Linked DNA regions of Canis lupus familiaris. The protein of the gene in region 1 interacts with the protein of each later gene in a pairwise test. Links are inferred from orthologs where the notes say so. Each region holds a gene or a part of one and is shown in the gene's direction. Other genes may lie near its edges. The genes, in order: DNAJA3, FAM214B and TCF19.

What was found.
Region 2: the proteins of DNAJA3 (region 1) and FAM214B interact in binary tests that used the Homo sapiens proteins (3 or more experiments, as listed by UniProt). The link is inferred for Canis lupus familiaris from reciprocal best matches to the Homo sapiens genes DNAJA3 and ATOSB.
Region 3: the proteins of DNAJA3 (region 1) and TCF19 interact in a two-hybrid assay, tested with the Homo sapiens proteins (2 studies listed by BioGRID and IntAct). The two-hybrid records come from large-scale screens. The link is inferred for Canis lupus familiaris from reciprocal best matches to the Homo sapiens genes DNAJA3 and TCF19.

What each region holds. Positions count from the first base shown.
Region 1 is NC_049227.1:37,253,905-37,264,688, reverse strand, and holds the start of DNAJA3 (dnaJ homolog subfamily A member 3, mitochondrial), read left to right. Parts: upstream 1-4,009; 5' UTR 4,010-4,046; coding exon 4,047-4,257; intron 4,258-9,985; coding exon 9,986-10,119; intron 10,120-10,784. UniProt on the Homo sapiens protein: Modulates apoptotic signal transduction or effector structures within the mitochondrial matrix. Affect cytochrome C release from the mitochondria and caspase 3 activation, but not caspase 8 activation.
Region 2 is NC_049232.1:51,983,053-51,993,807, reverse strand, and holds the start of FAM214B (protein FAM214B), read left to right. Parts: upstream 1-4,976; 5' UTR 4,977-5,127; intron 5,128-5,400; exon of another isoform or gene 5,401-5,424; intron 5,425-5,560; exon of another isoform or gene 5,561-5,585; intron 5,586-9,691; exon of another isoform or gene 9,692-9,748; intron 9,749-9,807; exon of another isoform or gene 9,808-10,041; intron 10,042-10,755. UniProt on the Homo sapiens protein: Transcription regulator that may syncronize transcriptional and translational programs.
Region 3 is NC_049233.1:993,637-997,585, forward strand, and holds the start of TCF19 (transcription factor 19), read left to right. Parts: upstream 1-1,149; 5' UTR 1,150-1,237; intron 1,238-1,643; 5' UTR 1,644-2,020; coding exon 2,021-2,258; intron 2,259-3,311; coding exon 3,312-3,867; intron 3,868-3,949. Other genes in the region: CCHCR1 (coiled-coil alpha-helical rod protein 1), read right to left, coding at 1-167. UniProt on the Homo sapiens protein: Potential transcription factor that may play a role in the regulation of genes involved in cell cycle G1/S transition. May bind to regulatory elements of genes, including the promoter of the transcription factor FOXO1.

The sequences.
Region 1 (10,784 bases):
AGTTTTTTTTATCTTCCAGAGTTTATTTAATTGTGTGTAGGGGGTGTGGGGAGAAAGGAGTCCATTTGTAAATACAGGAATAGCCTTTGCCTTACCTTGCACAATTATGATCAAAATAGAAAATATGGCAAAGCTCTTTGTGAACTGGAAAGAGAATGTTCTTAACACAGTGGGCTTTTTCAGATCTCTCCATAGCCACTAAGTGCCTGAAATTGGTCCCACAGACATATCAAGCATGATAAGTCCAAACTACAAGTCATCATCCTTCGCCCTTAAACAACTTCTTCCCTGGGTTTTTCAGCTTGGCGTTAGGGAAATATAAATAAGCTTATTCATTGTCCTTCAACCAACTATCCAATAAAGGCAATTCAGGTACCATGGACCAAGGACCTCTGTCGTGAAGATTTCCAGAGCTTTGTAGCTTACCTATGTTTCCTAACTGTATCATCTCCTGCTTCCCTGTAGTGACCAGCAGTGAAAGGGATCTTGCATAGGCCGAGGCTGCTCTCATCAGAGAGTCTTTCTGGTGGTTTCCCCAAAATCCATCTTTCTCTCCTTCAGTAGCCACCGGCACCCACTCCATTTCCTGGGGAGTTCTCTGCTTTCTGAGATGGAACACAGGCTCTCCAGCAATCAGCCTTCCTGCTATCCCCTAAAACAAGTACACACACCCCATTTCAGTGTGGATTTTTTTTTTATTTGTGATAGTCACACACACACACAGAGAGAGAGAGAGAGAGAGGCAGAGACGCAGGCAGAGGGAAAAGCAGGCTCCATGCACCAGGAGCCCTACGTGGGATTCGATCCTGGGTCTCCAGGATCGCGCCCTGGGCCAAAGGCAGGCGCCAAACTGCTACGCCACCCAGGGATCCCTCAGTGTGGATTTTTACTGTTAATCACTATGGGGAAATGGATGGGGGGAAAACTAAAATACCAAAAATATGAGGAAGTTACAAAACTGACCAAGTTTTCATATTAGTGAGCCCTCCATTAGTTCCTAACTCACTCTAAGGTGGTAAATGAAAGTCCCTTTGCCTCTTGTCGACATTTATTCCTGAGAGTTGTACTTCTCATCCAGCACCCTCCCCCACTCCTACCCCTTGGGCTCCCTGTGGGCAAGTAACTATGCCTGAGTTCTGCTTGGTATCCTCGGTGCTTAGCACAGGGCCTGGCACATAGGACAACATTTGTTGATGACTTACTATGTGCCAAATACCGCATGGAGCCTTTGCATGGATTATCTCATTCTTTCTTTAGATGATTCCTTTGAGGGAGTTACCATTCTGTCCCTGTTTTAGAGAAAGGAAACCAAGGCAGAGAGAGGTAAAGTCAGTTGCCCAAGGACACACAGCTGTAAGTGGCAAGGCTGGGATTCAATCCCAGGAGATCTGATTCCAGGGCCCATACTCTTAATCATGATGCTGAAGACATTTAAATATTAAACATATTAAGTAAACTCTTTTCTCCACTTCCCATGTCATGACATCTCTGCCTTGTTTCTCTAAAAGGCCTCAGCTCTAGGTTCACTAGCCCAAACTCTCAACTACTCCTTACACTTAACAGCCTTGAATTTTTTTCACTATATTAGTGGTTTTTATCTTTCATTTTGTTTTATTTTTATATTTTTTAAGATTTTATTTATTTATTCATGAGGGACACACAGAGAGAGACAGAGACATATGCACAGGGAGAAGCAGGTCCCCTACGGGGAGCCTGATATGGGACTCGATCCCAGGACCCTGAGACTGCAACCGGAACTGAAGGCAGACGCTCAACCACTGAGCCACCCAGGTGCCCCTTCATTTTATTATTTATTTTTTTAAGGTTTTATTTATTTATTCATGAGAGAGAGAGAGAGAGGCAGGCAGAGACACAGGCAGAAGGAGAAGCAGGCTCCATGCCAGGAGCCCAACGTGGGACCGATCCTGGGACTCCAGGATTGCACCCTGGGCCAAAGCCAGGCACCAAACCGCTGAGCCACCCAGGGATCCCCCATTTTATTTTATTTTATTTTAATATTTTTATTTATTTATGATAGTCACACACACACACACACAGAGAGAGAGAGAGAGAGAGGCAGAGACACAGGCAGAGGGAGAAGCAGGCTCCATGCACCGGGAGCCCGACGTGGGATTCGATCCCGGGTCTCCAAGATCTCACCCTGGGCCAAAGGCAGGCACCAAACCTCTGCGCCATCCAGGGATCCCTCCCCATTTTATTTTTTAAAAAGATTTTATTTATTCATTAAAGAGAGAGAGGGAGAGAGAGAGACAAGGAGTGGGGGGCGAGGGAGAAGCTGACTGCCCCACTGAGCACAGAGCCCAACCAGGGGCTCCATTCCATGTGCCCCAGACCAGTGGTTTTTAAAACTTCTTTGAATCTCAGTGAAGAATTTGATCAATGAAAGCTATGGCTCTTTACCCAGATTAACATCCACATCCACAAGAATTTGGGTACAACGGGCAGAAGGGGCAAGGAGCACACATCATCTTAAACCCATGGTGAACCCTCAAGCTCCCTTCTTACCATGTGGGGGTGGCATTCCCGTGTGTGTGTGTGTGTGTGTGTGTGAGAGAGAGAGAGAGAGAGAGAGAGAGAGAGAGAGAAATTCCTTTACCAGGCTTACTAGGCGAGGTGTATCTGTCTAGCCTCATCTCCAGTCACACCCCCTAAGTTTAGGGCTTAAACAAACCGGAGAAGGACTTTCACACCTCTAAGACAGCTGCTTTTTTTTTTTTTTTTTAAGATTTTATTTATTTATTCATGAGAGACACAGAAAGAGGCAGAGACACAGGAAGAGGGAGAACCAGGCTCCCTGCAGGGAGCGGAGGTAGAACTCGATCCCAGGACTCCAGGATCAGGCCCTGGGCTGAAGGCAGACCCTTAACTGCTGAGCCACCCAGGGATCCCCTGCTTTTTTTTTTTTTTTTTTTAATAAAGATTTTATTTACTTATTCATGAAAGACACAGAGAGAAGTAGAGACAAGTGCAGAGGGAGAAGCAGGCTCCCTGCGGGGAGCCCGATGGGGGACTCGATCCCAGGACCCCGGGGTCACGCCCTGAGCCGAAGGCAGACGCCAACCACTGAGCCAGCCACCCAGGTGCCCCAAACATCTACTTTTTAAGTTCCTGCTTCTGGGAATCCTCCGCCTCTCCACCCGCACCTGACGCACTTGTCCTCAAAGTCCACTTAGAATGTTACCTCTCGGATGCCTTCCCTGACACCCCAGCCCCTCAATTTGTCACCTCCGTGACCCTGACACTGTTCACACCTCCGACAGCACCGATCGTGTTATGTTAGCTGCTGCGGAGCCCGTGTCTCTCGATTCGGCGTTTGCTCCCCGCCCCCGAGCAGGGACGGCACGTCATTCATCGTTGTAGCCCGAAGAGTCTAGAAAAACGCGCATGACAGCAGGTGCTCGCAACATTTATTACACCCATTTGTGACTGGTAAGTTCATTACAGGTCTGGAGGAGACTAACACGCTTAGGACAGAACCGAATGATCGAAGTCCGCCCCATGAGGAACCAGCCAGAGAGAAAGCGAGCTTGAGGCCAGGCTTTGGAAGTAGGGCAGAGGCCCCGCGGGCTGGCGCTGACACAAGACGAGCAACCCTCAGGCGGGATGCTGAGCGTCGGGTCGGGTTGAAAGGAGACGCGCACTGCATGTTGGGATCGGCGCGACGGACGGCCGCGTTGCACGCCGGGATTTTTGTAGTCCCGCCCTTCGCCGGGACCCTCCGAATAGTCACATCTGGCTACCCTCGACCACGTCTTTACACAGATAAGGTACACTCTTGGCCATCCAGCACAGAATGACGGGGTTTTTCAGGGTCACTGTACCTAGTTGCACTCCTCAGAGCAAACCTCATTTCAGCGTTGGCAAGCAGAAAGGACCATTGAGCGCTGCTGCGCGTGCGCAACCCGTGCGTCCGCGCGTGTGCTTGCACCGGGCTCCGCCTCCGGAAGCCCGAAGCTTCGTCCGCGCGATGTTCTCGCGAGGCCTCCTTGAGCCGGGTGGCGCAGGCGCAGTGGCCCTGGGCCAAGATGGCGGCGTGGTGCTCCTCACGCTGGTTGTTGGTAGCCGTGGGGATTCCGCGGCTGCCAGTTGCAGCGGGGAGAGGAGCCCGGCCGTCTAGGGGGGGCGTGGTGGGGGCTTCGCTGGGCCACAAGCTGAACGTCAGTACCTCCGCGCCTTCCCTGGGAGGTCGGGGCTCCGGGGCACTGCTGACATTGACACCCGGTGTCAGCTTCAAAGGTGAGAGCAGGTTCCGGCGCCCGAGAGGGGCTCTGAGGCCCGGAAGGGGGTGGGCTCGGTCCCGCTGCGGGGGTGGCGGGGTGGAGGGTGGCTTCTGACCTGTATGCGGAATTGCTTGGAGAGACTGGCAAGCAGGAGGCAGAGGCCCAAATGGCTTCTCAGAAGTGAAGCGGGGAGAGCTGCTTGGAGCCCCCGGCGCCGGGAGAGGAACGCTCCGTACGCGCGCCGCCTTCACTTCTCTCTAACATTTCTAGAAGTTTCTTCTGGGCCGCCACTGCTCCGTTACCCTATTCGATTCCCGTCTCCTCCCTTCACCTTCTGGCCGGAAGGGAAGAGGTACCTGCCATTCGGTGAGCACCTGCTGTAGTGCTCGGCACTTGGTGCCTCGTTTCACTTGACTGTAACAGTCCTGCAGGAAGGGCGGCGTCATTCTCATATTAGGGAACGGGCAGCCGACGTCCTGTAGCTAGATGAGAACCGTCATCCCAGACCCAAGCTGTCCTTTAATAGCTCATACTCCTTCTGCCGCATGATTTTAACTGAAGGGCACTCGTAACGGTCTTTTCTAAGACCTTATGTTGGCGGTTGTAATAAAAATGCAGGCTGACATTTACTGAGCACTTTCCACGCACCAGGCTTGGATCATTTCCATGCGATAGACATTGTTCCACTCCGTTGTATAGGTAAAGAAACTAAGCCTAGATGTTAAACAGCTTGTAGAGTGACCGAGCAGGAAGATGGAGCCGTGATTCAAGTCCCGGCTCTCTGGACTGCTGGAGGCGATACTGAATTTTGGTCCATCTTAAACCTCTAAGTGTTTAGCGTTGATGGTTCTGTTCTGTGTGGGATGACTTCCATTATAGTAAGAGAAGGAAGGAGGAAACATTGAATAACCAGCCATGTGTCTGGATTATGTTACTGATTATGTTTCCGTAGAATTTGTGCAAATAATATTAAAGCTATCGATGAACTTCTTTTTTTTTTTTAAGATTTTATTTATTTATTCATGAGAGAGAGAGAGAGAGAGAGAGAGGCAGAGACACAGGCAGAGGGAGAAGCAGGCTCCATGCAGGGAGCCCGATGTGGGACTCGATCCTGGGACTCCAAGATCACGCCCTGGGCCAAAAGCAGGCGCCAAACCACTGAGCCGCCCAGGGGTCCAACTCATTTTTTTTTTAAGATTATTTTTTATTTATTCATGAGCGACACACAGAGGCAGAGGGAGAAGCAAGCTCCATGCAGGGAGCCCGACGTGGGACTCGATCCTGGGACTCTAGGATCACACCCTGGGCTGCAGGCGGCGCTAAACGGTTGAGCCACCCAGGCTGCCCACTGTCTATGAATTTATAAAGGAAATTGCCTGGTGGGGTCCAACTTTGTAATGCTTGCCTAAGAGGCAGTCATTAAAGTATCAGTAATCTTTATTACTTTGTAAAGTGAACAGACTGGCCTCCTCCACTGGAGCGTGTGTATATGAGAATTGGGAGAGATCTGAGAGAGGTATTTAATCCCTTTGAGCCTCTCTTAACTGTGAAAAGTGGTTCAATGACTAATAGGTGTTTATTGAGTGCCTTTCATACGCTAGCCACTTGTTCTAGGTACTGGGAATTTAGCAGAGGACAAAGAGATTGGATGAGGTTTTGGTCAAGTGATCCCATTTATTTATTCTGTTCCTGCCACCAATATTTAGTCACAGATGGAGCAGTAGTGGACTCAGATTTCCTTGGAGCAGCTTCACACTGTATTTCTCAGTATGAGCAAAAGTGGTCGTTTTTGAGTTCTGCTAACAGTTTTTTGTTTGTTTGTTTGTTTTCCTAACAGTTTCTAATGTCAGGGTTGTTTTAGATGGAGTTTGGCTGCATCGTTCTGTTCAGTTGTCCTTTAGGTAATTATTAAGCTAATTCTGTTCACATTACCTTTGTACAAGTTTGGGGAGCATTTTTGTTGATTGTGTATATATGAGAGGGACAGGCGCTATGTACTGAGCCTTCATGGAGCCATTACTAAGGACTTGTGGTCAGCACGTTGCTCATGATGAGCATGTTTTGTATCACATGATGAACATATGTGAGAGTTGGCATCCTTCAAGATGCACTCTGTTATCATATCTAAAATCATCAACTCAGCTCTCAAACATTGGTTTTTGATCTCCTCTCAAATCTGGTGGTACAATTAGGTGACATAAAAATAGCACTTTAAATATAGCTTTTCTCCCAGGGCAGAAAAAAGGTTGTTATTTGGTACTGGGTCGGTCATTCTTGGAACAACTTGGTGGCTGATCCTATTCTTGGTTGTTCCAATAAAGGCAAGGCATTTATTGATCATACCTTGGAGAAACATTTGTCTATCAAGTGAACTCTATTTTAATCATTGATGCCTTTTGGATAATGTCAAAAGTCATCAGACTTGTAGTAGTTAAATGTGATTTGTCTTTATTCGCATGCAGTTTTGCACAGTACTGTCCCATTCTTGCATCCCAAGTTCTCTGCCTGTGTCCTTGGAGCTGTAGCTGCCAGAGCCTTTGCCACTACTAGTCTCTGCCTTCTGGATTGGAAGGAGCGAGAGAAAAGGAAAGGCTGGACAGGACCAGGACAGCTCCTCACACCTGAGAGAAGAGGGGCTGAGTACAGGAGCACTAGGAAACTAGCTCTTGTTTTTCTCAGATCTGACCAAAGAAAGACAGCTGTGGTCTCCTAACCCCCACTACTTCCACAGTCTACTTTTCATGCTCCAGCAACAGGGTGCAGCAACAGAAAACGAGTATGGGGATGCTGAAAATACAGATTTGCTCGCTGGTTCTGATTTCAGTCATTCTTGCTTCATTCCTACACATTCTCCTGTCTTACTATCTTTTTTTTTTTTTTTTTTTAAGATTTTAAAAATGTATTTGACAGAGAGAGAAAGCACAAGCAGGGATAGTGGCAGGCAGAGGAAGAGGGAGAAGCAGGCTCCTGCAGGGTTTCATCCCAGGACCCTTGAGCCAAAGACAGAAGCTTAACTGACTGAGCCACCCAGGTGCCCCTCCTGGCTGATTATCTTGCCCCTTTTCTGGTTGGCCTCAACACCCCTGGTTGTGTTTTGTGTTCAGATTAATTTTAAGTGGTCTCTCAGGCCTCTTGTTTGTTGTTGTTGAGAGTGCTTTCTCATGCAAGGCTGATCAATTCCCTGTTTAACACTTGCAGTGTCTCCCTGTTGTCTTCAGGATAAAATCCTGAGTCCTTCCCATAGCTCAGAGGCCCTTCAGTTTATTTCTAGGCCTCATTAATCAGCAGCATCATTATGTCTAAACCACCCCTCTCTACTTGTGTAGAATCTCGTTATATGGCCCAGTTAACTAAATGCACGAGGACTTTATGTAAGCCAAAGGTGATACATGATTTAGCAGCCAAATGAGGCACTTTTGAACATGAAAGGGGAAGCAATTGCAAATGTCAGGACTGTAGGTGTGATTCCAGGTGGATTCAAATCTTTCCTTAGCCTGGTTAATTTCTACACTTAAATAGCAGTTAAAAGACCTTTCCTGAACTTTTTCAATTGGATCGTCAATAATTCTCAACTGAGGATGATTTTACCACCCTCACCCCCCACAGGACATTTGGCAATGTCTGAAGTCATTTTTAATTGCCAGTGTGTGGCAGGGTAGAGGGGGAGTAGAGTATACTACTTCTAAGTAGTTGGCCAGGATGCTGCCTAACATCCTTTGACATATGGGTATTTTAGTTGGCCAGTGATGCCATAACAAAGAACCACATTTATCTTCACAGTTCTATTTTTTTAAAATTTTTATTTATTTACGATAGTCACAGAGAGAGAAAGAGAGAGAGGCAGAGACATAGTCAGAGGGAGAAGCAGGCTCCATGCACCGGGAGCCCTACGCGGGATTCGATGCCGGGTCTCCAGGATCGCGCCCTGGGCCAAAGGCTGCGCCACCCAGGGATCCCTATCTTCACAGTTCTAAAGGCTGTAAGTCTAAGGTCAATGTTTTGGCAGAGTTGTGATTAAAGATCTTATTTACAATTATAATCACATTCTGAGGCACTGGGGATTAGGGCTTCAACATATGAATGGGGACACAACATATGAAGAGGACACAATTAGCTTATAACCCTAGAAAAGCCCCTCCACTGGGAGGAATCCCACTGTCAACAATTTGGGTTTAAGAAACCCTGATTAGGTGATTCTGTGTATGTGACTCTGCATGTCCTTGTGTACTAATACCTCTTTGCACACTGCCTCCGACACACCCCTGCAGGACTGTAAACTCCTTGAGAGTGCTGGCTTTGGCTTTTTTTCTTCATCTTGTATCTTCAGTGCCTACTACAATGTTAAGATCTTAAATATATGTAAGCTCCAGGAGGGCAGTGCCTTTGAATGGTCTGCTGCCTATTCCCAGCCCAGAACCCAGTGCCTGGCAAGTAGTAGATACTCAGTGAGTAATTGCTGAATGAATGAATGGTGAATCCATAAGCTGCTTCTCTGTAGGCAGAAGTTTGACTTAGTAATTGGGAGCTGGGGACGCCTGGGTGGCTCAGCAGTTGAGCGTCTGCCTTTGGCTCGGGTGTGATCTGGGGGTTCTGGGATCAAGTCCCACATTGGGCTCCCTGCATGGAGCCTGCTGCTCCCTCTGTCTGCATCTCTGCCTCTCTCTGTGTGTCTCTCATGAATAAATAAATAAAATCTTTAAAAAAAAGAAAACGAAAAGAAAAGAAACCGGGAGCTGCCATGACTCTGCCTTAACTTGGCTCCCTTCCCCTCCCCCAGCCCTGCCTTCCCTGTCTTCCCTTGTCACAGGATGGGTTGGGGGTTAGACAGGGCTCAAGGTGTGGGGTGGCTCCCTCTGCTTCACTTGGTGACAGACCAGTCCAAGTTGATTCTCTACCACATGCACAGTGAGCTGTTGAGTGGGACAGAGTGTTCTGATGGCGGTTCCTCCTGGCGCTGATACCAGCATGTGGTTGCCTGCCTTGGGCTTTGACCTGTTAGCTGTTCTGGGGTAAACAGGTTCAGGCATAGGGCCTTTTAACCCCTTGTGTCTGTTTAGGTGTATTATTTTAAGGAGAGGAGCAGCACTTTTATCGGATTCCCTTAGATCTGTGACTTTAAATGCTAAAAATAATTTCTTTAGTACAGTGGTTCTCAAATTGACCATGTGATGAGCAGAATCATCACCTGGAGGGCTTATTAAACATAGCCCACTGGAGTTTCTGATTCAGGTCTGGGGTGGGGCCTGAAGGTGGACATTTCCAACAAGCTGGTGGTGCTGCTGGTCCACTCTGAGAACCACCCCAGAAGCAAATCCCCAACTTTGCATGGTGGAGGGCAAGAACCTAGGGAATTGCATTAAGGGAGAAAGCATATGAAGACAGCTGGCACATGGCAGGTGCTTGTGTAATGTAACAGTGGGACTAGGTTCCTTTTTAATCATCCCCCAGCTAAAGCCTCCATCTGGGGTGCTGTTCCTTTGGTGGTGTAATGAGGGTACAACCTCATTGTATTGTGATCCAGCAGAATCAGCTCTGCCCGGTGCTGTTTGTTTTATATTCATTGTATACTGTGGTCTTGGCCATTTTTGAAATGCAGTGAGTTTGGTCTCCAGAGAGAGAAAAGCTGACCCTAAAGCTGTGATCTCCATTACTTTATGGGTATAACCTGGCTGGTTCTTTACTCAAAATTTCCTTTGGTTGAGCACATTCTTAGAGTGATTTTCTTTACTTTTTTTCTTTTTTAGGAGTAAAAAGTTACCCTTTTGTTTGTACTGCCTCCTTCCACACGAGCTCCCCTTTGGCCAAAGAGGATTATTACCAGATACTAGGAGTGCCCCGAAATGCCAGCCAGAAGGAGATCAAGAAAGCCTATTACCAGGTCTGTATGGAAGCCAGATTTTAGGGATAAGACTGTAGAAGGGATGCTGTGGTGTAGTGTGCTCACCAGTGAGGCATATCTGCCCTTGCAGCTGACAGTGTAGAATGAGATGAGAACATTGGGTGCTGCTGGACTGCTTTTCCTCAAGCGCATAGTGCCCTGCTGCTTAATGCTTCAGAAAAAAGAGGCAGAGCCAAAGATTTTTAGGAGCCTTTTCCAAAATTGTATTAGTGTTTAAAATTATTCTGCCTCCTAATACTTTTATGAAAAATTCACTAGAAGATTCTTGATTTTTTTTTTTTTTTTGGTCTTTTGGGTGTGTCTGTGTGTGTATGTGTGTGTGAGAGGGAGAGAGAGCGAGCACGCGCACAAAAACTTGTCTAAGCCTAATATTTGTGAACAGGTACTAATCAAGACCAGATCTGACAGCTATGGCTTGGATAGCTAATCCCTCCTCTTACTTTCTTTAAAGGGTACACTTCACTGCTTTTTACTGTATTCATAGAGGTTTTACAACCATCACGACAATTAATACATTTTCATCTCCTTTAAAAAAAAAACAACAGGGATCCCTGGGTGGCGCAGCGGTTTAGCGCCTGCCTTTGGCCCAAGGCGTGATCCTGGAGACCCGGGATCGAATCCCACGTCGGGCTCCCGGTGCATGG
Region 2 (10,755 bases), on another chromosome or scaffold:
CTAACTTTTATCTAACATACCTTTTTCAAATGCCTATAAATACTTGTGATGGTTAATTTTTTGTGTTAACTTGACTAGGCCACAAAGTGCCCAAATATTTGGTCAAACATTATTCTGGGTGGATGTTTCTGGATGAGATTAACATTTGAATAGACTGGGATCCCTGGGTGGCGCAGCGGTTTGGCGCCTGCCTTTGGCCCAGGGAGCGATCCTGGAGACCCGGGATCGAATCCCACATCGGGCTCCCGGTGATGGAGCCTGCTTCTCCCTCTGCCTGTGTCTCTGCCTCTCTCTCTCTCTCTCTATGACTATCATAAATAAATAAAAAATTAAAAAAAAAAAAACATTTGAATAGACTGAGTAAACCAGATTGCTCTTCCTAGGTGGGTGGGCTTCATCCAATCAGCTGAAGCCTCACTACAATATAAAGGCTGAGTCAGAGAAAATTTCTCCAGGTGCTCGGTTGGCTCAATTTGTAAGGTATGTGACTTGATCTCAGGGCTATGGGTTTGAGCTCTATGTTGGCTTAAATTACTTAAAAATCTCTAAAAAACAGAGAGAGAAAACATTTCTCTCTGACCGGCCAGTTGTTTCAATTGGGACATTGGTCCTTTATCTTGCCTTTAGAGTCAAACATCAGCTCTTCCTGGGTCTTCAACCTGCTGGCTTTCAGACTACAATCATACTGTCAGCTTTTTATCAGGCCTTTGGATTGGGACTGGAACTATACCATCACCTCTTCTAGGTCTCTAGTTTGCCAGCCTTAAAGATCTTGGGACTTGTTAGCCTCCATAATCCTGTAAGCTAATTCCTTATAATAAAATCTCTCCATCTCTATGTATGTGTGTATGCATATATATGCACATATGTGTATGGTTATGTATATATATGTGCATATATATGCATACATATAAACATATTGCCCCCCCCACCATAACTCTAATACAATACCTAATTTCCTTAGGAGCCTTGGTGTCCATTGAAAGATGAATGGATAAAGAAGATGTGGTTTATGTATACAATGGAATATTACTCAGCCATTAGAAATGACAAATACCCACCATTTCCTTCAACGTGGATGGAACTGGAGGGTATTATGCTGAGTGAAGTAAGTCAATCGGAGAAGGACAAACATTATATGGTCTCATTCATTTGGGGAATATAAAAAATAGTGAAAGGGAATAAAGGGGAAAGGAGAAAAAATGAGTGGGAAATATCAGAGAGGGAGACAGAACATGAGAGACTCCTTACTCTGGGAAATGAACAAGGGGTGGTGGAAAGGGAGGTGGGCGGGGGGTGGGAGTGACTGGGTGACCGGCACTGAGGGGGGCACTTGATGGGATGAGCACTGGGTGTTATGCTATATGTTGGCAAATTGAACTCCAATAAAAAAATTAAATTAAATTAAATTAAAAAAAATTTCCTTGAACGCTCATCAAACATGCTTTATCATCTTCCTTATTCCTTCAGTAATGAGTTAAATGAATTTGTCATGCATTCATTCCATATAATTTTTTTTTAAGATTTTATTTATTTATTCATGAGAGACATAGGCAGAGGGAGAAGCAGGCTCTTTCTGGAGATTCGATCCCAGACCCCGGGATCACGCCCTGGACCGCAGGCAGTCACTCAACCGCTGAGCCACCCAGGTATCCCTCATTCCATATCCTTATTAGAATCTTGCTTTTAACTTTTTGAAAGTTGTACTTTGATGATGTTTTTTAACAAAAAGTGTTGGATCAGTTCCATAACCATATGGGGAAAAAAATGAATCTTGACTCCTACCTCACACCATACACAAAATCTATTGTAGATGAGTTATAAAAGGTAAAATAATAAAGGTTCTAGACAATGACATAAGAGAATATATTCATTAACTTGGGATAGGCAAAGACTTCTTAAATAGGTATAAAATAAAGTCATTATCCACAAACAATGAAATAAATTGGACTATATTAAAGTTAAGAACTTCTCAGACCACCTAGGTGACTTAGTTGGTTAAGCATCTGGCTTCCCCTCAGGTCATGATCTCAGGGTCCTGGGATCAAGCCCCACATCAGGCTCCCTGCTCAGCAGGATGTCTGTTTCTCCCTCTTCCTCTGACCTTCCCCCCTGCTCGTGCTCTCTCTCTCTCTTTCTCAAATAAATAAATAATTTTTAAAAATAAAGTTAAGAACTTCTGTTCATTGAAAAACACTACTTAGAAAATAAAGAAAGCTACAGAATGGGAAAAGTTATTTGCAATAGATTTCTCTAACAAAATAATCATATACAGAATATACAAGGAGCTCTTACAAATAGAAAAAAGACAGACAACCAAATATAAAAATGGGCCAAGGGAATCCCTGGGTGGCTCAGCGGTTTAGTGCCTGTCTTCCACCCAGGGCGTGATCCTGGAGACCTGGGATTGAGCCCCGCGTGGGGCTCCCTGCATGGAGCCTGCTTCTCCCTCGGCCTGTGTCTCTGCCTCTCTCTCTCTCTGTGTCTCTCATGAATAAATAAATAAAATCTTTAAAAAAAGAAAAAAGAAAAATGGGCCAAGGACTTGACCAGGCAAATCACGAATGGTAACCAGTAGGCATATGGAAAGGTGCCCAAATTTACTAGATATCAAGGAAATGCAAACTAAGGCCACAGTGAGATACTTCTGCATATACACTAGAATAGCTGAAATTAAGAAGACTGACAACCTCAAGAGTTAGCAAGAAAGTAGAGAAACTAGACTTCACATATATTGTAGCACCGTGAACTGTTGCTACAATCTCTTTGGAAAAAATTTTGGCAGTATCTATTGAAGCTGAACATATACATGCCCTATTACTCAGTACTTCTAAGTATATATCCAATAAAAATACATGTACATCAGTCAATAAATTTATTTTTTTTAATGTAGAGGAAAAATAAATACCAATTTGGAATAGTGGTTACTGCTGGAAAGAGAAGATGAGGAGCAAAGAAGAGAATGGAATGAGATTAGGAAGGAGTATATAAAAGCTCAACTTATCTGAAATATTAATTTTCTTGAGAATTTAAAGCAAATGTGGTAAAATATTAATATTTGATAAAGCTGTGTGAAAAGAATGTGGGTGTTTGTTATAGTATTCTTTATAACTTTCTCTATGCCTAACATATTTCATAAAGAATTTTTTTATTTATTTCCTTTAATTTAATTTTATTTTTTATATGAGCTTTATACCCAACATTGGGCTTGAACTCCTGACCCTGAGATCAAGAGTTAATATGCTCTACCAACTGAGCCCCTCATAAAGACATTTTTTTAAATCTTGGAGAATACTCAGAGAATGTTTAAGAGCCATTGTAATATGAATATTATTCATATTAATATGAATACCAATACCAATATTGTATATATAAATATACTACATACACACACACATAGGTTGATATGATGTGATAAAACTGGCACTTTGAGCACCTGGGTGGCTCAGTTGGTTAAGCGCCTACTATCGCCTCAGGTCATGATCCTGGAACGCCAGGATCCAAGTTCCAGGATCCAGCCCTGTGACCCAACAGCTCCCTGCTCAGCAGGGAATCTGCTTCTCCTTCTCCCTCTGTCCTCCCAGCTCATGTTCTCTCTCACTTGTTCACTCTCTCTGAAATAAATAAATAAAATATTTTTAAAGGAACGAAAGAGATACAGAAAGAAAGAAAAGAAAGAAAGAAGCTGGCACTTTAACTCATGAGTCTTCCTTCCCAAAACCCATAACCCCAGTCTAATCAATCAGACAAATCCTACTGAAAGATATTCTGTAAAACATCCTATGGTAAAACCATCAATGCCATTGAAAACAAGGAAATCTGAAAAAATGTTACAGCCAAGACAAGTTTAAGGAGACATGACAACTAAATGCAATGTGCTATCCTGGATGGGATGCTGGAACAGAAAAATGGCGTAAGGAAAAACTAAGGAAATATCAGCAAGGTATGGACTTTAGTTAATGATATGTATCATTTAAAGTCAAGTAATTTAGCCAAATTCATACAGCTAGTAAATATCCAACACCCAAAGTTCAGAGGCCTATGCTTTTTCCACTACTCCAAACCCTTCCACCTTTACTCTTTGTAGGATTATCAAGCTATTTGTCTGACAACTTAAACAAGTTCCTTGAGGATAGAGAAAAACTTTTTTTTTTCTTTGAATATCACTGGTGTTCAGTAAACCAGCTTAAGTTAACTACTTACCGAAAAAAAAAAGTCCCAGAAACCTAAAGAATCTGAGACTTTCAGAGAACTTTATCAGGTTTGATCCACAATCTATATCACCAGCTCCACGGAGAGGCCCCATAGACCCTGGACTCAAAGCCCTTCAGTTCTGCAAGGGTCCTGTGCTGCCATCTACAGGTAGCTGGTGAGCGCTGACTTTCCCTGCGGTATCTCGGGAAATCGTGCGGCGAGTGTAAATCGGAGAGAAGACTCAAGCGCTAATTAAATTACAGAACATTTGTAACTGTCACAGAGTTCACTTGACATTTGTACAAAGCAAAGGCCCTACTTCTCTCCGGCGATTGCAGGCTCTTCTACCTCTGTATTAACACGTACGCTCCTAAAATTCACAGAATTCCTTACTGACCCACCTTCCAAAGGTAGAGATCTGGCTGTCATTGCCCATCTCCCAGAACTCAGATTCTCCTGCACAGCGTAGGCTGCAGACATTTGCTCGACCTCACAGACTTGAGACCCTAACAACCAGATTGTCGCATCTTCACAGACCCCTGCGAGTCCTCGCACTACCTTGCAAACCCCACAGCCCTCCCCCATTAGGGCAAATGCATGCGCTAACCCAGACGTTTCCATAGAAAGGCTCGAGTTCCGCAGGCAGCTCACACTAGCCGGAAAGCCCGGGAGAGCCCCAGTCAGGCTCGGTGCCCTCAGGCTAGCGCTTTGATGCCAGCTCGGGCTCCCTCACCCCAAGCCCGATCCGGTCAGCCTAGGCCCGCACCCGGCGGACCAAGGCCCCGCCCTCTAGACCTGTCATCACAGAAGCCGCACGTGGCCGGGGTGGGACCTCAGGCGACCTGCAGCCATCACTTTGTCTCCTCCGCCATCCATTGGGGCCGCAGCCGCCAATCAGAGCCAGCGGATCCGGGCTGGAGCACAGGCGCCCGGGTGAGGCGAGCGGGAGAAGGGGCGGGGGTGGGTGAGTCTCTGAGCCCGACCCTGGCTCGCGGTGGAAGAGGGCCAGGTCCTGGGATCTGCCAGGCTGGAATCCGAGGGGCGGGTCCTAGCGAAAGGCGGAGAGACCAGAAGGGGGCGGGGAGCAGGGAAGGGGCTAGGGACAAGCGGATGTTCCTGGGGGGACGCAGAGAAGACGAGAAGGGGCGGAGCCATGGGGGCGGGGCCTGTGTCACAGGGGAGGAGCCAGAGGCATTAAAGAAACTAGGAAGGGGGACGAACCCCGAGAAGGTGGGAGGTGGGACAAGGGAGGGGGTGGGCCTGGGCGTTGCGGGGGCGGCGCTCGGACAGAAGGGGTGAGGTTTGCAGGCCGAGGCTGCTGCTAGGGCCTCTCTGTAACTGCCCCAACCCACTACCTCCTCAGGTGCAACGGGACTCACGGAACTACAGGTGTGGGGTGGGGTGCGCGTGGAAGAGGGACAAGGATGGGGGTGCGCTTGGGCAAACAAGAAGGTGGGGGCACGTTAGAGAAGGAGAGAATCTGAGGATTGCTGGGGGTGGGGAGGAAGACACAGAGTTGGAGGAGGTCTTGGGGGCTCAAGCGTGTGGGTAAGCAGGTGCATTCTCCAGGGGCTCTTGTGGGGGAGACACAGGAGTGCTTTGCAGAGGTTGGAGGTACAGTGTGAGGGGGCGAGGTCGCTGTCTGACGTGGAGGGTTGGAGGCTGGCTATACTTGAGGGGGAGGGGATCTGAAGTTGCTTGGGGGGAAGCAGGCGCTGTATGATGGAGAAGAGTTGGTGGTCCAGAGTGTGGGAGAGACGGAGGGACACAAGGATTATGTACAGAAAGAAAGGATGGGGTTTTGGGCACTGTGTGAGGGAAAGGGGTTGTAGGCCCCAATTGAGGGCGGAAGAACCCTAGTCCTTTGAGAAAGTCTTGGGGCTTTGTAGAGACTCCAGGGAGGGGCTTGTGTTCTGTGTTCTAGAAATGGCATGATGGAATTGGTGGAGTAAAGCCAGTCCGTAGTGCTCCTGGCTCTTTGGCACCTAATTTCACCTTCAGGCTTGAGGACTCTGAGGGAGGATCCAGGCCCCACTTGCTACTAGGTCTTCTGTGACTATCCCCTCAGTCGGCTTTGGATATGTCTGGCTGAGACTAGAGTTTCTTCCCCCAGCTGGTGTTCCTGTTAACCCCCACTCTAGTTCCTGTTCCTCCCAGAAGCCAGCCTTGGTCCCTGTCTTTCCCCTCCCCCACTTTGCCCTGCCCTATACTCTGGGTGTGCTCATTTCCCACTTCCTTCCTCGCCCTGGGGCCTGGCCTGGGACTTGCCCGTCTAGGAGCTGTGCCCTGCCTGTGCCCTGCCCGGAACTTTGTGCTCAATGGCCACAGACCCTAGTTACCAGCAGTAAGGCCCAGACCTCACCCACTACTACCAAGATCTCTCCTAACAGCCCCCACAAGTGACTGCTACTTTTTTGCCACTTGGCATAAACTTATTTTCCCTACCCTTTTCATTCTCTTGGATGGGGAACCCTAGGACCCTAAAAAATGGGCTTCTGTGGGAAGGGTGAAAATTACTGAGTCTTTGATGTATGTTTTGAGACATGGGCTACTATGGCAGGCTGAACTCCAGAAAGGATAGGAGGTTCCAGCCTCAGCTGGAAGAGGAAGAGAGAATGGCTCCCCACATTCCTGGCTTGGAAACTGATGGTCAGAATCCGAGACTAGGGCCTAGTCCTCTAGGGAGTTCCTTGGGTTCCCTGAGGGGCCTTGATGTAGTGCCAAAGTTCTGTTTGCCCCTGGGCTGGCTAGGAGAGGGTGGAAAAGGCCTGCCTTCCACACAGTGGCTGGATGAGTGTGACAGTGTTACTGAAAGGGGCCCCTAGCCAACCTCCTTCTAGCTGTGACTGGCTGGGGAGGGAGGGGGTACTGAAGCCAGACAAAGCCGTGGGGTAGGGTGGGGTAAGGGAGGGCAGGCTGAAGCCTTTTGAGGAGGAGCTGATTGCTATGGCAACACAGCTTCCCAGACTGTCTCTCAGAGAGGCGGGCCTAGGGCAAACACTCCAGCTTCCTCAGGATTGAGGCATTTGTGTGAGTGGGTGGGGCGTGAGGAGAAAGGGCATCAGTTTGCTGTGCTGAGGCTGAGTATATTGCCTCTCTGCTTCAATACAAGCAGGAGGGCATTCAGACATTTGGGTCCATCCTCTGAAAATGGATTTGAGTGAACAATAGCCATTAGAATCATAGCAATATAAGGCCAGAGTTGCAGAGGCCCTCAGTGGCCATCATCTAATACAACACCTCATCTTACAGAGTTGAAAATTTACAGCCAAAGGAACTCTGACTTTCTCTAAGTCTCACAGTGAAAGAGCAGGAATTAGGACCCAGGTCTTCCGAATGCTGTTCACTCAGCCCAGGGCTCATCATTTCTTTCAGCCAGTGTTTATTGAGCACCTATTATGTGCCAGGCATGGAATACCACCATGAACAAAACAACACTGCTGCTCTCATAGAGCTTCCATTTTAATAGGAGGAGAAAGAAGTGTGTATGTTTATGATGACAGAGAGAGAGACAGAGGCAGAGAGAGGCCAAGTGGTGATAACTGCTATGAAAAAAAAATAAAGCTGGGTTAAGAGTTTGGAGCAGCTAATTAAGGCTCTTGACTGTACTATGCTGCTTTCCAAGGGTACACGGTGGCCTAGAACATCTTTGATCCTTCCCACTGAACTATTGCCCCTCTGACCTTTGCAAGTAACTGAGGCCTGGGCCTATATTAATGGCAGTAAAACAGAACTTACTGCCTGTTCTGTGGTGTCACCAAAGGACTATTAATTTCCAATAGTACTCTGTGTCTATTTGTCTTCCCAGTAAGCTTTTACTAAGGGAAGTAGGTTCTTATTTTGGTACTCTGCAATTTTGTTCAGGATTTTGAAAATTTCCTGAATCCTATTCTTTTGCCTCAGGGAACCAATGAAGAAGTCAATCCAGGGCAACTGGGTTCTTTTTCAGGGTTTTTCTCCTGGTCTAAGGTGAGGAGAAGGGAGCCTAGGGGAAGGGTTACTTACTTATCTTCCTAAGTCTAGGGTACAAGGAGGAAGTACGGGGAAGGGAACCTTTTCTTTACTGTCCACTGATAACATAAGGGCCCTTGGGGCCTACAGCAAAGGCAAGGTAGAAACAAGGACCTTGGGCCTTCTTCTGTAGGCTCTGAACTATGGAAAAATGGAACTCCCCCTCTTCTGGAGACACAACCAGGGAGCCTAACCCTGGCTAATGCCAGTTCTCCAGGCATCATTTTGAGTTGTCCCTCTTTGTTTTTTTGTTGTTGTGGTGGTGGCTGTTGTTGCTGTTTCAAAATTTTATTTTTAAGTAATCCCTACATCCAACCTGGGGTTTGAACTCACAACCCCAAGATCAAGAGTTGCACCCTCCACTGACTAAGCCAGCCTGGTGCCCTCAGTCTTCTCTCTTTTGACTCTGGTATTTGCTTGCTTCTGGGGATGACTGACAGAAAAAGCTTCCTAAGTTTAGAAGCTGATTAGGGATACCTATTTTTCTTAGCTTGCCCCTAAAGCAGCCCCTCTAAAAAAGTGTCTTTTAATGCCTCATCCTTGCAGAAGTTTCCATCCTGGTCGTTTAAAGAATAGGAGGACAATAATTAGGATCACTGATTCTGCTGCCACTTAATTTGGCTGGTTCTGGCCTGAGCCTGGAGCACAGTGACTCAGGGGGAGGGTGGAGAGTTTCGAGGGAGCTGTGAGTCATGGGAGTGAGCTCCCTCGCAAGAGTTGGGCACATCTCCCCCACTAATGGTAGAAGCCTTTGTATCCCACTTCCCCTGGATCCTTGGTCTCATATGAAGAGAGAGTACTGGTAGAAGGGATGAAGCAGCCTGATCTCAGGATGGTAGTTCTGAGACACAAAAGATGTTTAGGTCCCTGAACTAAAATATGTCCCTATCTCAGGAGTCCTTTGGGGCCCCTCTATTGAAGACAAAAGAACATCAATATAGAGGAAGAAAAGGAAGAATATGTTTCTCAATGGAAGGAGATAAGATCCCACTTCTGGACTATTTCACCTGCTGTGGTATGAAGGAAGCTTTCTAGACTTCAACAGTCCTCTGGTCTCTGAAACTCTGGTCTGCAAGGAAAGGAGAGAGAAATGGGAGTGGGGATATTTGGGGTTTGGTGTGGGAAGAGCAGGCTGACTTTGGAGATTGTCGGAATTGTGTCTATGAAAGCCCTAGGGCGTCCTATTAAACACCGTCGGAAGAGGAAGGGCGGAGATGAGAAGCGGGAGGCCTACGCCTTTGAAAGGGTTAAAAGGCAGGGCTGGGAGCTCCTTGGGATTCCGGCAGATGAGGGGTTAAGAAGATGGGCGGGGTCATCCCCGGGTAGGCCTGCCCCCTTGTGGACCAATGGGCCTGCGTCTCTTGGAAGGGGCGTGCCTCACACTTGAGGTCGTGGAGAGGCTGGACTCCTAGGGGCCAATCAGCATGACCGCCGCCCACGGAGGGTGTGGTCTTAGGGGGGCGTGGCGGCCGCGGGCGCCGCGGCGGGGGTGTAGGGGCATTGGGCGGGGCGGGCGGCCCCATCAGCTGGTAGGAAATGGCCTGTGAGTCAGAGGGGCAGCGGAGTCGGCAGCGCGGAGCCGGGGCGGCCACGGGGAGGGACAGTCGCGGGGAGGGGTGCGGCAGTGGCTGGGGGGCTGCGGGCTCCAGAGCCCGCTAGTGTTGCACACGAAGCTGAACAGAGAACAGCCTAGCAAAGCAGGGCTCTGTCTGAGCCACCCTTTGTCTGGGTTGGGGGCCCGTGGTGGGGAGGACCCGAGATTCGAGGGGAGGGACCGGGACGGGACGGAAGGGCCCGGAGCAGCGGCCGCCGCGGCGGAGCCAATTTAAGAGCGGGGTGAGTGTGCTAGGGGGAAAGAGCAAATCTCCGAAGCTCCAGGAGGGAATGGGGCCTGTCCCAGGCTCTGGGGAGGTGAGGGGTGAGAATGGACCTGGGAGACTAAGTAGGGGGTGGGGGAATCGTCCAGAACCAGGAGTCCAGGGGAAGGGGTGAGTCTGCCTGGCTCAGTTTGGAGAAGGTGCTGACATCTGCTCTCTCTCCATTGAGGATAGAGGGTTTTAGGCCAGCGGTCAAGGGGTTGGTGAGAGTGCAGAGTTTGACCTTCCTACCCACAGTGTTGGTCCAATGGAGTAGCCCCCCTAGCTTGTGTGGACATGTTTAGGGACAAACTGCGGAGCAGCTGGCAGTTCTCTCTGAACAGGATGAGGGTGGAAAGCACATGGAGAGGAATTCTCCTTCCTGTCACCCTCCTTGATCAGTGTAGAAATGGTATCTTTAATACTGAAAGGAAGGGGAGAGTGAACCTGGAAGCTTGTACTTATACCAACACCCACCTACCCCACCTCCCAGGCCTAGCAGGTGTCTGAGGTACAGAACCCATGGTATTCTGGGACTTGTTGTTTTTGCTGGCCTTGCTCCCTGGGCATTTTGGGAACTGTAGTCCTTGCCAGCCACAGCCTGGCACAGCTGTTTGACGCCAGCTGCTGCCCATCCCCTGCACAGGGAATGAGGTTTAGCTTACCCTGCCCCCCCTTCTCCACAGTCCTGCCC
Region 3 (3,949 bases), on another chromosome or scaffold:
AAAGGAGGTACGCAGTGCAGGGGCTGTGAGCCCAATCTCCAGAGTTTTCTCCATGGCTCAGCAAGGCCTTCTGGAAGCCCATCCAGACACCACCAAGCCATGACTCCTGGGTCCTTCCCTATTAAAGCACTGGCCCAAGGCCTGGGCCCAGATGAATGTGGCCACATGTAGGGCAGGACACCTGCCCAGGTCCCCTGGGAACAGGCAGCCTAGACCCCTTGGCCGAAAAAACAATTTCCTGACATCTCATCCAGAGCCTTCCGGCCGCTGTCCTCAGTTTCCCTCTTCTATGCCCTCAGCTGCCATTCCTGCCGCCTACCGTCCTCTCTCCGGGGTCCAGAACACGAGAGGTCTTTTCAAGGTCTCCCTACCCTCCCACCAGAACGCACCTAGTCTCCCTGCCTGGGATTCCTATCACCCTCCCTACAGCCTCATCTGCTCCTTCCTGAAAGCGTTACTCTGGTCCCTCACGGCCGCATCCCCTCCCAACTGCACGCCTGCAGGCTCCCAGCTCTTTCCACTCCCGCGTCTCCCCCGATACCCGAGCCTTCCCCTGCTGGACCCGGGGCTCTAAGGCCGTTGGGACCACTTCATCTGCTCCTTCCCCTGGTCCCTGTGCCCCTCTTCCCCTATGGACCCCTGAGCCCACCCCGAACCCCCTGTCGGCCCCTTCCCGCCCCCCAACCGACTCTTCCCGAACGCCCCTTACCGAGCGCGAGGCCCTCCGCCCTCCGCCCTCCAGCCACCACCCCTGGCCCTCGCCCCGGGCGCGGCCACCGCGCCTGCGCAGAGCGGGCGGCTCGGCGGGCCGCCGGGGGAGGGGGGGAGGGGAAGGGCACGCAGGCGCAGTGGGGTCTAAAGCCAGGCCCCAGGCCCCAGGCCCCAGGCCCCAGGCCCCAGGCCGTGGGGGACGCCTCCGCGCGCCCGCGGCCCCTCCCAACTCCGGGAACCCGGGAAAACAGGAGAACTAATCAGGAGAGGCGGAAGGCGGGAAATCGGAGCTCTCCAGAGCGCCGGCCAATGGAGCGGCGGGGGGCAACGGAAGCGGCCAACCAGGAGGGCCGGTGGGGGCTCGTCGCTCCGAGCTCGGGCCCGGGAACTCGGAAGGCGGGCCAGGCGCTGCCCGCGCGCGGAGGCCACGCCCCCCCCCCCCCCCCCGGCCTCCCCGCTGTCACCCGGCGGCCGCGCGCGAGCTCGGGCACTGCCTGCGGGGGACGGCACGTGGAGGCTGCTCGCGGTAGGTGGGCACCAGGCCGGGCACGGGAGGGAAGGCCTGGGGCGGCCCTGCCTGACCGCGGGAGCCCCTTCCCCTTTGCGCCGCGCCCGGAGAAGCCGGGAAGCCGGGGCTTAGCTTCGCTTTGCTGGAGAACCGAGGGACCGTCTTCACTGTCTGTTGGGGGACAGTGGATTCGCCTCCCGCTGGGGTTAAAGGGAACTGGTTGTGAGAGGGATTGGCCTGAAGGGCGAGGCGGCGCGGGCGAGCAGGACGGTTACTCGATTTGGATAAGCAAGTCTGATAGGAAGCTTCTTTTCTACAAATTACAGAGGTGACAAGGTAGTGTGGTACAGAGCAGGAATCCCATACACCCATCTACAGACTGCATTTCCCTGGGAGGCGCCTAATGTGTTGTTGCCTTGCACAGATTGAGTCTCCTGAATACCTGGGGCAGCCTGAGGATCCGGCTCCACCAAGGTGCCACAGGACGTGTTCCTCTCTGCGCTGCACTGGGACCTTCCCCGAATTCTTCGGTTGCAAAGCTGCTTGACAGTTTTGTTTGTATCCCGTGCCTAGGCGCCCTGCACTCTGAAGTTGCACTACTCAGGCCTGGGTTCTCCTCTGAGTTTTACCACTGATCCCTGGTACAAATTCAAGCCTGTGCTCAAAGTTGAAAAAAAGCACAAAGCACAGCTCAAATTTGCATCAGACAGAAAGTGAACTTAGGGCAGCGTGCATGGCTCTGGTGTGGGACAGGTGATAGACTCCTGAAGTGGAAGAAGTGGTGCAGAGAGGGCACCACCCATGCTGCCCTGCTTCCAGCTCCTGCGCATAGGAGGAGGCAGGGGTGGTGATCTCTACACCTTCCACCCCCCTAACGGGGCTGGCTGCACTTATCGCTTGGGCTGTAGGGCCGACCTGTGTGATGTGGCCCTGCAGCCCCAGAGGGAGCCTGGCCTCATCTCTGGAGTCCATGCGGAGCTGCACGCTGAGCGCCGGGGTGATGACTGGAGGGTCAGCCTGGAGGACCATAGCAGCCAAGGTGAGCAGCAAGCAGGGCAGCCTTGCACCTGGGCAATTGCAGTTCTGGGCTGGAATGATCAAGGGGCTTCACAGGGACCCTGCCTGCCTCCCAAACGCCCTATCAGATTGGATGGACAGTTGTCTTGACCTGCATCTTCCCACTCAAGGTGTGCAGTGTCAGAAGCTCTCTGTGGGACTGGCCCCCAATGGTCGCTGCCTAGCTGGAAGCATCTAAACAGGGGCTGGGAGGTAGATGCAGGGCCTGCCATCATCAGGGAAGTATCATAGTGGGGATGATCTGGGGCCTTGGGAGCCAAACTCAGATGACTCAGTTTCCAAATTTGTTGAGGCACCTTGTTTTTGTCTGAAGGCGGTTATATGTTGCATTATGTTTGAATGATCAGGGCATAGGTCTTGCTCCTTGACTGGCAGGCATTTGTAGTCAACCTCAGAAGGCCTGGGCTTTGCTGCTGTCCCTTCACGTCTCTGGGTCTCGAGTTCCTCATAGGTATAATGTAAGGCTTTGTAAGGTCGGTTTCAGGAGTGTTGGGGAGATTAGGTTAACTATAGGAGCCAACATTCATTTAGTGCTTACTGTGGGCACCAGGTACTGTTCTAAGCGCATCGAATGTCGGTGAACACTAATACAGTCCCCATTTTACAGACAACAAACATTAAGCATAGCTTAATTTTCAGGTGACATAGCTGGTAAGATAGAGCCAAGATCTCAACCCAGACAGTCCATGGTATGCCATTAACTGTTTTTGTGTTAGAGCTGGGTGAGAAACATGTCTGAGGATGGCACCTCAGCAGAGTGAGGGAAGGAGTCCATTCCTTCCATATGCCTTGTGGGACGGCATAAAAAATAAACTTGTTCTCAACTCACTAGGAGCTTAATATCTGGTGTCACCTGCCGAGGGACTTCAGGTGTTGAGAAGTTGATGACAAGTGTCATGTTCTCCTCCCTCATGTTCCCCAGAAAAGCGAAGGAGGCCAGATTTCTCCTCTCCTGACTCTGGTCATTTCTGTTTTTGTCATTCTCTGTATCTGTCTGGTGCCCTGCCATCAACAGGGACTCTGGTCAATAATGTCCGACTCCCAAGGGGTCACAGGCTGGAGTTGAGTGATGGAGACCTTGTGACTTTTGGCCCTGAAGGGCCCCCAGGAACCAGCCCTTCAGAGTTCTACTTCATGTTTCAACAAGTCCGAGTCAAACCTCAAGATTTTGCGGCCATTACCATCCCGAGGTCTAGTGGTGAAGAGGGAACTGGGACTGGCTTCCAGCCTATGCTGCCCCCACAAGGGGCCCCAAAGCGCCCCCTCAGCACCCTTTCCCCTTCCCCGAAAGCCACGTTGATCCTCAATTCCATCGGTAGTCTCAGCAAGCTCAGACCCCTTCCCCTCACCTTTTCCCGGAGTGGGGGTGGGCCACAGAAACTGCCTGTTCCCACTCCTCCTAGGGAGGTGGGGAGTACCCCTTCTGACCCACCCCCAAGAAATCGGAGGAAATCAGCTCACCGAGTGTTGGCAGAGCTGGATGATGAGGGAGAGATTCCTGAGGCTCCCCCAGTCTTTATGGAGCCCAGAAAGAAACTCCGTGTAGAGACAACCCCACAGACACCTGCTGGGTAAGTGGAGAGAACTTTCTCAATTTTAATTCCTTTTTTATTCTTTTTTAGTGCCCTGGGCTGGAAGGTGGCCCTCTGCTCT